Linked DNA regions of Rattus norvegicus. The protein of the gene in region 2 interacts with the protein of the main gene of each other region in a pairwise test. Links are inferred from orthologs where the notes say so. Each region holds a gene or a part of one and is shown on either strand. Other genes may lie near its edges.

Region 1 (7,932 bases), on a different chromosome or scaffold from region 2:
CTGTTTATGGATATTTTGAAATATATGTAATTAGCCAGGTTTAGCAGCATGTGTCTGAAATCCTAGCACTTGTGGGGAGGTCAGGGGGGGTCAAGATTATCCTCAGCTATGTACGTAGTGAATGTTGGCCAGCTTTGAGGCCCTGTTTTAAAATATGAAAATCTGTGTGCTTATGCGTGTTTGTGCTTCTGCATGTGTGGGTGTACATGTGCATGTGTACACATGCATGTGTGAGTGCATGCGTGTGAGCATGCATGTATGCATGTGTGTGTGTGTGTGTGTGTGTGTGTGTGTGTGTGTGTGTGTGTGTGTGTGTATGGTCTATTAATACAAGACCACAACCTATCCTTCCTGCCTAACTGTATCTTTCTACTTGCCCACCATCTTTCTGGCTCCTGGTAATCCGGTTTCTACTCTCTTCTTCCAAGAGTTCCACACTGATCTTTCAAATGTAAGTGAGATCACATGCTATGTATTTTTTTGGTGTCTGACTTATTTTACCTAGCATGATGTCCTTTAGGTTCCGCCATACTATTGCAAATAACAGATTTTTTAAAAGACTGAAAATACTATTTTGCTGTCTGTGTACACCATATTTTAAAAATCGATTTGTGTGTTGATGGATGCGGGTGTTTCTAGCTACTGTGATGAACACTGCTGTAAATACCTGTGCCAACACACTTGGCACAATTTCTTCTTCCTGCTTGCTATCAGGTTTTGTAGTGGTGGGATCAAGCTGAGGGCCTTGTGCACATCAGGAGTCACTGTGCCACTGAGCCATACCCCCGGTCTGCCTGTTTTTAAGGTGTGACGTTCATACTAATGAATGGGGGCCATGAACAAGTTGAGATGTAAGAGTGTCTTATAGGTCGGGGAGGAGACAGGAGGATCTGATTAGATGGCTTGGATCCCATATGATGATCTGACCTTTGCAGTCCTGGTCTTACCTGAAGGGGAGATGTTTTAGGCCCCACTCTGCATTGCAGTCACTTCCTCTGAATTCTGTCTCGAAATCCTCACTGTGCCCCTGGCTATTCCATTCTTAGATCTGTCAAGCCACTTAATATTCTATTGACTTACTTATCTATCTTTCCCAGAGGCTGGCTCCATGTGAAGGTAAGGATAGGTACACCCCATTCGCTACAGGAAGTGCCAGCCTCTACCCTAGTCCTAGTCCTTCTATAGTTCTTTGCTAGGCAAACACAAGAAGGTACAAGACAATGGTCTGTCCTTTTAAAATTGTATTGTTATATATATGTGTGTGTGTGTGTGTGTGTGTGTGTGTGTGTGTGTGTGTGTGTTTTGTCTGCATATATGTATGTGCAATGTATGTGTGCCTGATGCCCAGGGATGCCAGATGAGGGCATTGGAGTCCCTGGAACTGGACTCACAGGCTGTGGGGTAGCCATGTGGCCAAGGGACTTGAACCTGGGTCCTCTGGAAAAGCAGCCAGTGCTCTAACCACTAAGTCATCTCTCCAGTCTCTGGCTTGTCCTTTTCAGAGGACAGATGTATTAGATGTCCAACTCTCTGGCCATAATGATGCCAAGAAGGAAAAAAAGACAAGCTATTTGGAGGAGAAGGCTCACCCAAAGACCTTTTTTTTTTTTTTTTCGTTTTTAATTGCCAAAGTAAGTGATGTACGAGATAAATCCTGGATATAAAATCTTGACACATCTTTGAGGTGTTGGCCAGAGCTGCTTCAAACCTGAAAAGGAAATAAAATCAAATCACTGTGGTTTTTCTCCAAGAGCCCCTGAGATGTGGTTATGAGTGGAAGGCAAGGCCAGACAGAACCAGGAATTCAAAGGTTGACCTACTTTGTCGAAACTAATAAGAGGGAAGAGGTCTGCATAATCTTTCTGTCTCTTCCTTTCATAGTAAAGAACAGTGAAAGCACATGACAGACTAGAATTCACAGAGAACTGAAGGCCAATGAAATCGCTTCAGGATTGACCGGCTATACGAAGCCTGTGTTTCTACATCATGTTGTCCTCTTTCCCTTCCCCCTCTTTCGAGTGAGAAAAAAAAGCGCCTAAATTCACACCAACATAAACTAATGACATACAATGATGAAATTCTGTTTTCACCTCTGCCTGTGACAGGGAATGCAAAAATAGCAAGTGGCCTATTTCCACGAATCCCCGCCTCCCTGCCCTCCCCGCTCCTGCTGGGTTTGGATCTCTAAGAATGGAGGCTAGCGCATAGGCAGGAGCCAGCCGGGATCGGCCCCCCAACCCGAGGGTGATGTCAGTCGGCGGAGCGGCCGCAGCCTGGCCAGGGAGGCCACGGCTCTTGGGGAGCAGGGAGGGCGGGTGGCCTGGATGGGCGGACCGTGAGCCCGGCCGCGCGGCGTCGCCTGGAGACGGCCCTGGCGGCGCTGTGTTGCTGTAAACAGCCGCTTCGCTGTTACTATCTATAGCAAAATCGCCTAGCTCCCGGGTGCGGCGGCCCAGGGCAGGTTTGTGGTTCTGCACCTCTTGGGCCCCTGAAGATCCATCCGCTGCCCCAATCCTCTCTAGTCCGTCTCGGAATGCCCACCAGTTAGTTTGACCCTTGGGATCCACAGAATGGAGAAGAGGGGACACATGAGTTCTGCGAGGATCTGCGGTTTCCTTTCCCAGAGGTGACCAGCGCTCTGGGGCCGAGCCCAGTCAGTCTAACCCGGCTTGTCCTCTGCTGAAGGACAGGAGACTGAGGGCAAGTAGGGGTGTGTTTGTTCTACACCGAAGCACCCGGCATCTCCAAAGTTCCATCTTCCAAGACTCAAAGCTGTGCTCAAAGCAGACGCCAACATCTCTGCACAGCTGGGAACCGTGCTTCCAGTCCGTCCTCCCCTCCTCCCCCATCCCCCCCTCCCCAAGTCCGAACTGGAAAATCACCCGCTGCGGGTTCCTTGTAAGCGCAGTTTCCAGGCTGCACGGATTCAGGTCCCCACCTCCCCTGTGCACCGAATTGCCTTCTTCCCGGGAGCTCACCTCACTTGTAATTCTGAGCAGACCCCTGCCTTCACTCGCCCTCTGGCCTCCGCTCAAAACTGAGCAAACGACCCCTTCAGGCATCCTTGCAGGGTGGTTTTGCACAATGTTTATCCGTCAGTGTCTCCCGGGACAGTCACCCTGATTGTTCTAAGTGGCCAAGGGTCGGGGAGTGGGTGCTGTCGTCCTTTAAAACACGAATGTATGAATGAACTCAGTATTGTAGGTAAAGCGGGTTATTGAATACTTACTTAGAATCCTTCACTTACTGCTTCCAACCTCAGGCCTAATGTTGCACTGATTTGGGACGGAGAGAGGTCTGATGTGGGCTAGCTTTCCTTTGGGAACAGAGACTTGGAGCCTTTAGGGCTGCGTGCCTGCTTCTCCTAATACCAGAGACTTTTTTAAAAAGCTCCAGATTGCTGGACAATGGAAAGGAGATGACCCCCAGTCTCATCCCCTGACCCTGGGAACAGAGTACACATTGAATCAGGTGCGAATGTTCGCTCGCCTTCTCTGCCTTTCCCGCCTCCCCTCCCCCGGCCGCGGCCCCCGCTCCCCCCTTGCGCTGCACCCTCAGAGTTGGCTGCAGCCGGCGAGCTGTTCCCGTCAATCCCTCCCTCCTTTACACAGGATGTCCATATTAGGACATCTGCGTCAGCAGGTTTCCACGGCCGGTCCCTGTTGTCCTGGGGGGAACCATCCCCGAAATCCTACATGCGGAGGGTCCAGGAGACCTTCTAAGATCCCAATTGTGAACACTCATAGGTGAAAGTTACAGACTGAGACGGGGGTTGAGAGCCTGGGGCGTAGAGTTGATGACAGGGAGCCCGCAGAGGGCATTCGGGAGCGCTTTCCCCCCTCCAGTTTCTCTGTTCCGCTCATGACGTAGTAAGCCATTCAAGCGCTTCTATAAAGCGGCCAGCTGAGGCGCCTACTACTCCAACCGCGATTGCAGCTAGCAACTGAGAAGACTGGATAGAGCCGGCGGAGCCGCGAACGAGCAGTGACCGCGCTCCCACCCAGCTCTGCTCTGCAGCTCCCACCAGTGTCTACCCCTGGACCCCTCGCCGAGCTTTGCCCAAACCACGACCATGATGTTCTCGGGTTTCAACGCGGACTACGAGGCGTCATCCTCCCGCTGCAGTAGCGCCTCCCCGGCCGGGGACAGCCTTTCCTACTACCATTCCCCAGCCGACTCCTTCTCCAGCATGGGCTCCCCTGTCAACACACAGGTGAGTTTGGCTTTGTGCAGTCGCCAGGTCCGCGCTGGGGGTCGCCGAGGAGGGCACATTGGGGTGTGACTGTCAGGGAAGAGTAGGGGTCTTCCTTGTTTGCTCCGGAGGGAGACTGGCGCGGTCAGAGCAGCCCTAGCCTGGGAACCCAGGACTTGTCTGAGCGCGTGCACACTTGTCATACTAAGACTTAGTGACCCCCCTCCCGCGCGGCAGGTTTACTCTGAGTGTCCTGCGCTCTTCTCTCGGTGACTTGTTTCTGAGATCAGCCGGGGCCAACAAGTCTCTAGCAAAGACTCGCTAACTAGAGCCTGGGAGGCGGCAAACGGCGGCAATCCCCCCTCCCGGGGCAGCCTGGAGCAGGGAGAAGGGAGGAGGGAGGAGGGTGCTGCGAGCCGGTGTGTAAGGCAGTTTCATTGATAAAAAGCGAGTTCATTCTGGAGACTCCGGAGCAGCGCCTGCGTCAGCGCAGACGTCAGGGATATTTATAACAAACCCCCTTTCGAGCGAGTGATGCTGAAGGGATAACGGGAACGCAGCAGTAGGATGGAGGAGAAAGGCTGAGCTGCGGAATTCAGGGGAGGATAGAGGATATTGGGAGACCTTTTTATCTCGGATGAAGTGCATACAGGAAGACACAAGCAGTCTCTGACCAGAATGCTTCTCTCTCCCTGCTTCATGCGACACTAGGGCCACTTGCTCCACCTGTGTCTGGAACCTCCTCGCTCACCTCCGCTTTCCTCTTTTTGTTTTGTTTCAGGACTTTTGCGCAGATCTGTCCGTCTCTAGTGCCAACTTTATCCCCACGGTGACAGCCATCTCCACCAGCCCAGACCTGCAGTGGCTGGTGCAGCCCACTCTGGTCTCCTCCGTGGCCCCATCGCAGACCAGAGCGCCCCATCCTTACGGACTCCCCACCCCGTCGACCGGGGCTTACGCCAGAGCGGGAGTGGTGAAGACCATGTCAGGCGGCAGAGCGCAGAGCATCGGCAGAAGGGGCAAAGTAGAGCAGGTGAGTAGCGATTCTGGACCTGCGCGGGGAGTTGGGGGGGGGCGGGGGGGACGGACGCACAGGCGACACGGCAGAGTGGGTGAAACCCTACGCTACTGACTGCACTTCCTGACCAGGGACCGTGGCTGCAGCCCTTTCCCACCCTCGTCAGACACTGACAGTTGGCCCCAAGAAATACTCTAGTTTCCCTGACAGCTTCCAACCACATTCTCTAGCTTGGGAGCTTCTTTGTTCCCCTCCTAAAGATCTCACTTTAAATGCAAATCACACTCAGCCTGCCAACTGCAGGTTAGAAAAACTGCTTCACCGTGAGAGGTGCGGGTGCTGTAGGAGCCAGTTTCACTGGGGTGACTGAACAGAGGTGACACTAGACCACCTTATTGAATGTTGGTCCTTTTCTTATAGCTATCTCCTGAAGAGGAAGAGAAACGGAGAATCCGAAGGGAAAGGAATAAGATGGCTGCAGCCAAGTGCCGGAATCGGAGGAGGGAGCTGACAGATACGCTCCAAGCGGTAGGTTGAACCAGCTGCTGCTCCTGAAACTTTATTAAAGTTGGAGGTTGGGACTATGGGGTCAGGGTCCTTGAGGAAACCTGTGTCTTATGCTTTCTTACATCTCTGTGCAGGAGACAGATCAACTTGAAGACGAGAAGTCTGCGTTGCAGACCGAGATTGCCAATCTACTGAAAGAGAAGGAAAAACTGGAGTTTATTTTGGCAGCCCACCGACCTGCCTGCAAGATCCCCAATGACCTGGGCTTCCCAGAGGAGATGTCTGTGACCTCCCTGGACTTGACTGGGGGTCTGCCTGAGGCTACCACCCCAGAGTCTGAGGAGGCCTTCACCCTGCCTCTTCTCAATGACCCTGAGCCCAAGCCATCCTTGGAGCCGGTCAAGAACATTAGCAACATGGAGCTGAAGGCTGAACCCTTTGATGACTTCTTGTTTCCGGCATCATCTAGGCCCAGTGGCTCGGAGACTGCCCGCTCTGTGCCAGATGTGGACCTGTCTGGTTCCTTCTATGCAGCAGACTGGGAGCCTCTGCACAGCAGTTCCCTGGGGATGGGGCCCATGGTCACAGAGCTGGAGCCCCTGTGCACTCCCGTTGTCACCTGCACTCCCAGCTGCACTACCTATACGTCTTCCTTTGTCTTCACCTACCCCGAGGCTGACTCCTTCCCTAGCTGCGCAGCTGCCCACCGAAAGGGCAGCAGCAGCAACGAGCCCTCCTCTGACTCACTGAGCTCGCCCACACTGCTAGCCCTGTGAGCAGTCAGAGAAGGCAGGGCAGCCGGCACTGACTGAGCTGGTGCATTACAGAGAGAAGAAACAAGTCTTCCCTCGAGGGGTTCCCGTAGACCTAGGGAGGACCTTATCTGTGCGTGAAACACACCAGGCTGTGGACCTCAAGGACTTGAAAGCATCCACATCTGGACTCCAGTCCTCACCTCTTCCGGAGATGTAGCAAAAAAACAAAAAAACAAAACAAAAAAAAAACAAAACAAAAAATCAAAAGCAACCGCATGGAGTGTATTGTTTGTAGTGACACCTGAGAGCTGGTAGTTAGTAGCATGTGAGCCAGGCCTGGGTCTGTGTCTCTTTTCTCTTTCTCCTTAGTCTTCTCATAGCATTAACTAATCTGTTGGGTTCATTATTGGAATTAACCTGGTGCTGGATATTTTTCGGATTGTATCTAGTGCAGCTGATTTTAACAATACCTACTGTGTTCCTGGCAATAGTGTGTTCCAATTTAGAAATGACCAATATTAAACTAAGAAAAGATAGAACTTTATTTTCCGGTAGATAGAAATAAATCGCTATATCCACGTACTGTAGCTCTTCAGCGTCCATGTTCATTGTCATGTAACTGATCATGCATTGTTGAGGTGGTCTGAATGTTCTGACATTAACAGTTTTCCATGAAAACGTTTTATTGTGTTTTCAATTTATTTATTAAGATGGATTCTCAGATATTTATATTTTTATTTTATTTTTTTCTATCCTGAGGTCTTTCGACATGTGGAAAGTGAATTTGAATGAAAAAATTTTAAGCATTGTTTGCTTATTGTTCCAAGACATTGTCAATAAAAGCATTTAAGTTGAATGCGACCACCTCGTTGCTCTTTTATTCTGAGAGTTTTGGAAGTTTCGGGAAGGCCTTGGAGAGAGACCAGTTTGTCAAGATGGGTGGGTCCTGGAGGGGGACACGCCCTCTGTTCCCTTATCACTCAGAGGAAACGCTAGTTCAGGGTATTTTACAGATATGTGTGTTCATATTGCATTGCTAAGATTTTCTACCTGCCTGCCCTGGGGGCTGAGAGTTGCCTGTAACAGCTTGTGCAAGGCTGACGTGCCTTCCTGCTTCTCTGGAGGGAGCATCCTTAAATGTATTTGCCTATCTTCGCCTTAGTGATTTTCCTGGGAAAGGGATCCTTTGAACAGAGCCTAGCTCTATGCAAACTTTTCTCCTTTATTATTATTATTATTATTATTATTATTATTATTGTTGTTGTTGTTGTTGTTATTATTATTATTATTATTATTATTATTATTTTGGTATTGTTGGAGATAGGATCTTGCTAGGTGGTCCAGGGTAGCCTCCCAACTCCCAGCAGTCCTCTTGCCTCAACCCTGACAGTGGTGGTTATTACAGACAACCAGCAAGTTTAGCATCTTATTCCCATGAAATCAAGGGAAGAGTTACTTTT
Region 2 (7,226 bases):
ATGGCGCCTGACTCAAGAACATGCCCACCGATGGCCACCCAATAGGAGAGAGATCTGGAGTTTGTTTCCTTATAGACAAGGAAAGAAGAGCCCAAAGAAGTCAGAAGGGGACAGATGTCCACTGTCCCTGCTGCCCCTCACCTGATGGCCTCGATCCACTGGTCGCGCTCCTCGGCATTGGCAGCTGAGATGCGGTAGGATTCGTGTTTGCCTTCCACCACCTTGCCATCCCCGTCCGTCTTGCATGCCTTTATCTTCTGGCCCCGGCAGCTGGGGTTGTACAGCTCCAGGCAGAACTATGTGAGGTGCCATTTAGGGTGAAATTCAGGGGACAGGCTAGGACAGTCTTGGGGGGGGTCAAGGAGGAGGGAAGAGCAGCATTCCCACAGAATGCCCTTCCCAAACAGCCCTCGGGGAGAGGAAACTGAGCACCTACTATGTACCAGGTTTCCTAAATGCCATGTAACAGATCTGGGGCATGCGTGCATGCATGAGTGTGTGCGTGTGTGGGTGCATGAGTGCGTCTGTATCCTGGCTCAGAAAATAGCTGGGATTTAGAAGTTCCCTAGTTAGTGCCAGAGTCAAGCTCCACAAGACAACTGAGGCTTGTTCTTTCAATGACACTGTCCAAAGCTTCAGGAGACCCTACAGGAGGAGTGGTTGGGCCTCATGGAGGGTCCCACGAAGGCCCCTTCCCTCAGCCATGCAGGGAACCCCCAACTGAACCCTTACCGGCTTCTTGGGGTCATCCACCTTCTGCACAGAGAGGTTCTCCAGGGGGATGATCCCCCGAGGCTCTTTGTCCTACGGAAGCAAAGTAAGGGGCAGGAAATAATCTTGGGACCTCCTCAGGCCATCTTTGCATACTGCCTAGCCAGAGAGCGTTCAACACTAGCGCCTTGGTTGGGATCTGGAAGACCCAATTAAAAATGTCTTTTTCATTTTTTATTCTATGTGTATGGGTGTTTTGCCTGAATGCATGTAAGTGGGCCACACGTTGGGTTGGTAGTGCTCACAAAGGCCAGAAGACGGTGTCCGATTTCACTTCAGGACTGGAAGGAGTTACAGACAGCTGTGAGCCACCATGTGGGTGCTGGGAATTGAACCCAGATCCCCTGGAAGAGCAGCCAGTGTTAACTGCTGAGTCATCTCTCTAGCCCCCTACCTCTTTTACAATGTTTTTTTGAAAGAAGGATCTTGTTCTGTAGCCCAGGTTGGCCTTGACCATGTTAGGAGCTCCCATGCCTGGCCTTTAGCAACTCCATTTGCCTTGAACAATTTGTTTGTTTGTTTGTTTGTTTTCGGTGCTGGGAATTGGCCAGGGCCTCACACAAATTAGGCTCACGCTTTAACACTGATCTACAGCCCTAGCCTGGGAAACCCAACTTTAAGCCAGGCCTCTCCCCTGCCCAGCCCCTTCTCCTCTTAGTTCTCTACGTCTGTGGAATGGGACATAGGGGCACTGAACCCTCTAAAAGGGCCTAACACTCTACAGCAGTGACACTGGCTCTCTTGCGGACAGGGTCTGGTTATGTCTGGTTGTGTCCTATTCCCACCTCCCCACACACTCACTCACAGTGGTGAACTCAAAGTAGTAGAGGCAGTTGTCCGTGAGAATGAACCAGCGTCGCTTCCATGTCTTCACACGGCCCCCTGCACGAGACAGGCAGAGGGGAGGAGGGTCAGCCTTCCTCCTCCTGGGTCACCAAGTCCCCCCAGAGGACAGCCACAGAGCCTTGTGAGCATTGCTCTCCAAGCCTCCAGATCCATTCTTTCTATACCTCAAGTGTTAGCAGCTCCCAGCAACTCCCATCACCCCGTTTCCTTGGATTTGGGTTCCCAGAAATTAGGTAGAGGGACAGTGGCACTGTTCCCTGCTCTCCCAACTAATGTTACCTGACCTTTACTTGACCCCCCACCCAGACCCATGCTTGCTTTACGTGCTTGCAATGCTTAGTGTGGACTGTATGATCTAAAGTCATCAGGACAAGCCTCTGGACAGGTCCATTCACGAGAGGGTTTCCTGACTGAGTTTGCTGAGGTGGGAAGACCCCCCCTTTCAATGTGGGTAGTAAGCAGGGGCTGGACTCCGGGACTGAAAAAGGAGAGACTGAGCCTTCGTTGCTCTCTGCTTCCTGACGGTGACCCGCCTCCCCAAGCTTGTTGCAGGAGGGGCTCTTCCTCCTCAGTTGCTTTTGTTGCAGCTCTGAGACCAGTAGCTAACACAGCACTCTACCTTTGATGTATCAGGCCTTTGATGATGAAGATGTGAATCCCTGTGGCCATTCCCACCACACCCCTGGATGGCCACTGGCAATCCCATTTTATAGATGAGGAAACCAAGGCTGGGAAAAACTAGACTATGTATTCAAGTCCCTGTGCTTTTCAACTCCAGTGTCCTTGTCCTGGAGCCCAAGCTCTCAGCCATGTTGCTATGTGGCCAGCATTCTCTTGGGTCACTGCCTCCACAGTCCAACTACAGAAAGGGATGCTGAAGAGGGGGCAGTGAGTTCTGACGCCCCCTCTGCTGTCTGGCTTTGTGACCTGGAGGCTGGAAGCCAGTGCCGGGCAGCAGAGGAGGCCCAGAGGACTGTGGGAAGAGAGGCTGGGGTGACAGACAGAAGGCTTGGTGGGCATCTGGGATATGGGTAAGTCTGTCATGATCTAGGTACACAGTAAGTGATGGAGACTGCCCAGCCCAGGCATTCCTCCAAGATGAGCCATTTTTCTTCATCTGCCTTGGAAGACCCCAGTCCTTGCCTGGCTGGCCATGCTGGGTTGGCTCCTGAGGGTGTTTCCGGAGGCAGGGTTGGTTGTTTCTATCAACCATTGGAGCACCCATTGCTGCATTCACCATGGCTCTGTCTTAGTTACACCCTTCCCCCCTCCCCTCTCTCTGTCCTCCTGCTTCAGGGACATCCAGCTCTCTGCTGCCCTAGGTAGGATGCTTGCTGTCTGTGTGCTCTTGAGAAGTTCCTTTAACCTTGCTGACTCTTGGCTTCTGGAGAATGATCACCCAAATGTTCGGCTGTTCAAGGACCAGCACCTTACAGTCAGTAGTCCTGAGCAGAGCTACTCTGCTAGACTCTTCTCTCCAACCCTCTGGGAGAGAAACATCCATGGAGCCTCTGTCTCCTACTGTCCTCTAGCAGTCACCCCTGTACCCCTGTACCCCTAAGACAGATGGATGGGTAGAAGGGGAGGTGTTTTTATATATATGTGCACGAGTGGATATGTGCATGAGTGAATATATGGATAAGAAGATAGGTAGATGGATGAATGGATGATGAGCAGGAGGATGGATAAAGGAATGTGGATAGATAGGTGGGTAGATGGATGGAAGAATGAGTGGATGGATGAATGAGTAGAGGAATGGGTGGGTAGATAGATGAGAGGATAGATAGAACAATGGTGGGTAGGGGTGGATAGATTGATAGATGACTGTAACAGATGGATAGATAAACAGGCTAGGTGGAGAGGTGAATGGGACAGTTGGATAAGACAATTGGTGGGTAGGTAGATGGGTGGGTGGATAGATGGGTGAGTGGGTAGATGGGTGGGTGGGTAGATGGGTAGATGGATGGATGGGTGGATGGATGGATGAGTGCATGGGTGGTTGAGAGGAAGGATAGAAAGTGTAAGCAGACTGCTAGGCTGTGGGTTAAGAGACCCAGAGCTGTGCAGGTCCACTCCTGAGGGGTGTGTGTGTGTGTGTGTGTGTGTGTGTGTGTGTGTGTGTGTGTGTGAAACGTGTGCAGGTAAGCACATTTGAGAATGTGCATAGAGGTCTCACCCAGCTTGAGTAGCCATCCTTCACGGTCAGGATTGAAGAAGGTGTGAGTAAGGTCACTACCATCATCTTCGGGGATGGAGAAGGGCTCACTCTTGATGCTGTCAAACAGGTTCTGCCCGAGAGGAGGAAAAGGGTGGCTTCAGTTCACTGATATGGGCCCTGAACAAGTCAGCCCTCTCCTGGTAAACCCATTCCTGAGCCATTCTTGTGACCTATCCCGCCAAGTCCCTGTCCCCTCAGGTGACTGGCACTCACCTTTTGCACTGGCCACACCCAGAGCCTTGTATGCCTTCCCCTGTGTTACCCACAGGCAGAGTCAGCAGGGTGGGTGCCTTGGGTTCACACATAAGGACACTGACGCTCATTCCTACCCTCCCTGGGGACAGCAGCTGAAGTAGGAACTGCTTTGGGCAGGGCTCATGGTGGGAGATGCCTCTCTTCTATTTAGATAGACAGTAGAACCTTCTAGATAACACATGCTGGGGTGAGGCTAGAGGAGGCCTTAGGGAGGAAGGGATTGACTGCTCCAGGCTCAGAGGCCCAGTGGCAGGCAGGAGAAGTACCCAGTGTGGGGTGCTGGCCACGGTGTCTATCTAGAATGGGTTCTCATTGTAGGGATTGGGATTTAGAGGGTCCCCCTTTAGCCCTCCCTAGATGACTTAGCTGTTTAAATGTGCAAAGAGTGACCCCAGAGGTATGTGAGCCAGGGCTGAGATGGCTTCTACCCTAGGGCAGGGCGTGGGTGCAGACCCACCAGAGTGATTTGAATCTCTAGTGGGCACTGGGCTCGCCCAGCTGTGTGATTGAATCTATGGGGGTGGGCCTGGGCCATCCTCTGGCTCAGCCTTTATGTCCCCTTCCAATCTTACTGTGGTGTGGGAATGACAGGAAAGTGAGGACCCACTTTTTTGGCTGGAGTAGGGGGAGCGGTTCGTGGGGGTGGGGCGGCAGGCTTTACCTTGGGAATCCCCAAGTGGCCTGGCAGGTGGAATGAGTGTCTGGGGCAGGAAAACCATTGCAGTAGCTGAGCTGTTAGCTCAGACAACTATTAGGGAGCCTGAGGAGGCTGCAGGGCCACAGACAGGTTTTCAGCCTCTGCTAAACCCACAAGGGTACCTGAAAGTTTCTGCGGTCGCAGTAGCAAAGTTTGTATTCTGCCTCGCAAAGACGGTGCAGCACACCCACACTTCCTGTGTTTTGAAGACACCCGAGGCCCCTGTCACTGAACAAACCACTGCATAGAAAACGTCAGGGCCCTGGGTGACCCTGTGGCCCTGTTCCTAGGATTCCCTCTCCTCTCCTTTTGTCTAGGTTTACAGTGAGTTGGGTATCCCACTCCATCTCCAGATTCCAGGGAGGGACAGTGACCTCCATTTGGCTGTGTACAGCCTTGTATCCTATGTGCTATGATGACTAGTTTAAGCAGAGATACGTGACCCCAGCCAGTCAATAGGAATTCATTCCAGGAGTTTAGTTTTCTGGGCGAAGCTGGCAGCCTGGACCCACTTGGGTATCGCTGATGTAGCCAGGGTCTAGAAGAGAGCCAGGGTTCAGGGTAGCCTTGATGTGACATGTAGCTCCTTTGAACCATCAAGCCCCTGGATCTAGCCACACCTGAAGCCAACAGTCTGAGAAAAAGGGAATTCCTGTTCTTTCTTTCTAAAATCAATCAATCAATCAATCAATCAATCAATTGTATATGCACGTTCGTGTGAGGGTGTTGGATTCCTCGGAACTGGAATTACAGACAGTTATGAGTTGTCATGTGGGTGCTAGGAATTGAACCCCAGTCCTTTGGAAGAGCAGTCAATGCTCTTAACCGCTGAGCCATTTCTCCGGCCCCATCCCTGTTCTTTCCAGTGATATTAGTTGTGATTCTCCCAGTCAGTGTGACAGGACAGGAAGGCATGAAGGAAGAGGTATTACGATGTACATATGATGGGCTGGCTGAAGGGCTCAGTGGGTAAAGGCGCTTGCTGCCAAACCTAATAACCTGAGCTGGATTCTTTGGAAGGAGAGAACCAACTCCTGAGTTGACCTCTGACCTTCACAGGTGTACTGTGGCCCCATGTAAGGGACAGAACCCACAGAAGATGAGCCTCCATTTTCAAATGCTGAAGAGAACACTGCAATGTGAAGGAGCCGGAAGGGTGAGGACTGGGGACCTGCAGCTTTCGACTCTCGGTCCTGTCCCAGAAAGCCTATCTCCCTTCTCAGAAATGCCTTTTTCTTCCTTAGTAAACTCCTATCACTATCCATATGTCCCTGGTTCCGTTCTTTGTTTTAGGACACACGAGTCTGGGAACCTCAGCGGGTATCCCTTAGACCTCCTCCTCTGTGACAGCTGGAGGTAGTATGCTCAAGTCCGCTCCCCCAAACCTTCTAGCTCTTACAGGAGGCGACACTGCTTAAGCTAGGACTCTCCTGTCATAAACATGAAGCCTCAGGTCAGCTAACTCCAGTGGCACCCTGTGACCCACCGTAGCTTGACCCTGGTAATGGGGGTGGTGGTGTGGGGGTATGGGGGTGTGGGGATATGGGGGTGTGGGGGGGACCACAGTGACAGCATACCTAGGACATTGTCTGCTGTGACAGAGAGCCTAAAGAGTGGCCTAGGGAAGAGCTGTATTCATCTCCTGCCCCTGTGTCCAGCCCCTACTTCTGCACCTAAAACCTTGTAAGTACTCTGTCCCGGTTGCCTGTCCCCTACAGCTACAACACATCTCTCATAGTCTTTCCTACAAGCATACCCTCCAGGGCTGTGTGACCTTGGGGTGACCTCTCTTGGGGCATGCCTCTGTGTAAATTCACTTCTGTCTCTTGGTGTACTTAAATGCATTTTGTGGCTTCTTTGGAAGTTGAGCAACAAGGGTCCATGGAGAATTCACTTCTGCAAAGAGACAGTGTGGCACTGGGCTCTTGCTTTTAAAAAAATATTAAAACAAGGCCCAGGGGCAGGTGAGGGGAACCTAGGTTCATGTGGCTGCCGGTGAAAACCTGGGATGGCTCTCAGAGTGGGCCTGGGCACCCTAGGACACAGCTGGGAAGATTCGAACTCGCTACCCATTCGCTATGAGCTCTGCTCACTCCTGCTGGAGGGACTCCAGGACTCAGCTGCGGCTGAAAGACGGGCAGTCATGGGGTGGAGGCTCCCGTTGGCCCTGCTCTTTGCCTGCCTCTGTGCTGCTGACCAGGGCACCTGACCTCTCCCAGCCTCCTAGACAGATTGGAGGCTACCAATCTGAGGTGCCTAGCTATTACTTCCAAGAAAGTTCTAGCCTGGGGCCATGAGGAGGGGATGATGCTCTAGAGGCTGTCTGGACAGAAGGCAACAGGGGTCAGTTGGGGAGACCACGCACATTCAGGGCCCCTGTAGGAGGCATGCTGGTTCTGCTCCCAGGTATGATGCCTCTAATGTCTGTGTGTGTTCTAG

What was found.
Region 1: the proteins of Cyth4 (region 2) and Fos interact in a two-hybrid assay, tested with the Homo sapiens proteins (2 studies listed by BioGRID and IntAct). The two-hybrid records come from large-scale screens. The link is inferred for Rattus norvegicus from reciprocal best matches to the Homo sapiens genes CYTH4 and FOS.

What each region holds. Positions count from the first base shown.
Region 1 is NC_086024.1:110,848,268-110,856,199, forward strand, and holds Fos (protein c-Fos), read left to right. Parts: upstream 1-3,920; 5' UTR 3,921-4,072; coding exon 4,073-4,213; intron 4,214-4,973; coding exon 4,974-5,225; intron 5,226-5,630; coding exon 5,631-5,738; intron 5,739-5,851; coding exon 5,852-6,493; 3' UTR 6,494-6,787; downstream 6,788-7,932. UniProt on the Homo sapiens protein: Nuclear phosphoprotein which forms a tight but non-covalently linked complex with the JUN/AP-1 transcription factor. In the heterodimer, FOS and JUN/AP-1 basic regions each seems to interact with symmetrical DNA half sites.
Region 2 is NC_086025.1:112,047,996-112,055,221, reverse strand, and holds part of Cyth4 (cytohesin-4), read right to left. Parts: intron 3,906-7,226; coding exon 3,794-3,905; intron 1,654-3,793; coding exon 1,577-1,653; intron 805-1,576; coding exon 733-804; intron 297-732; coding exon 142-296; intron 1-141. UniProt on the Homo sapiens protein: Promotes guanine-nucleotide exchange on ARF1 and ARF5. Promotes the activation of ARF factors through replacement of GDP with GTP.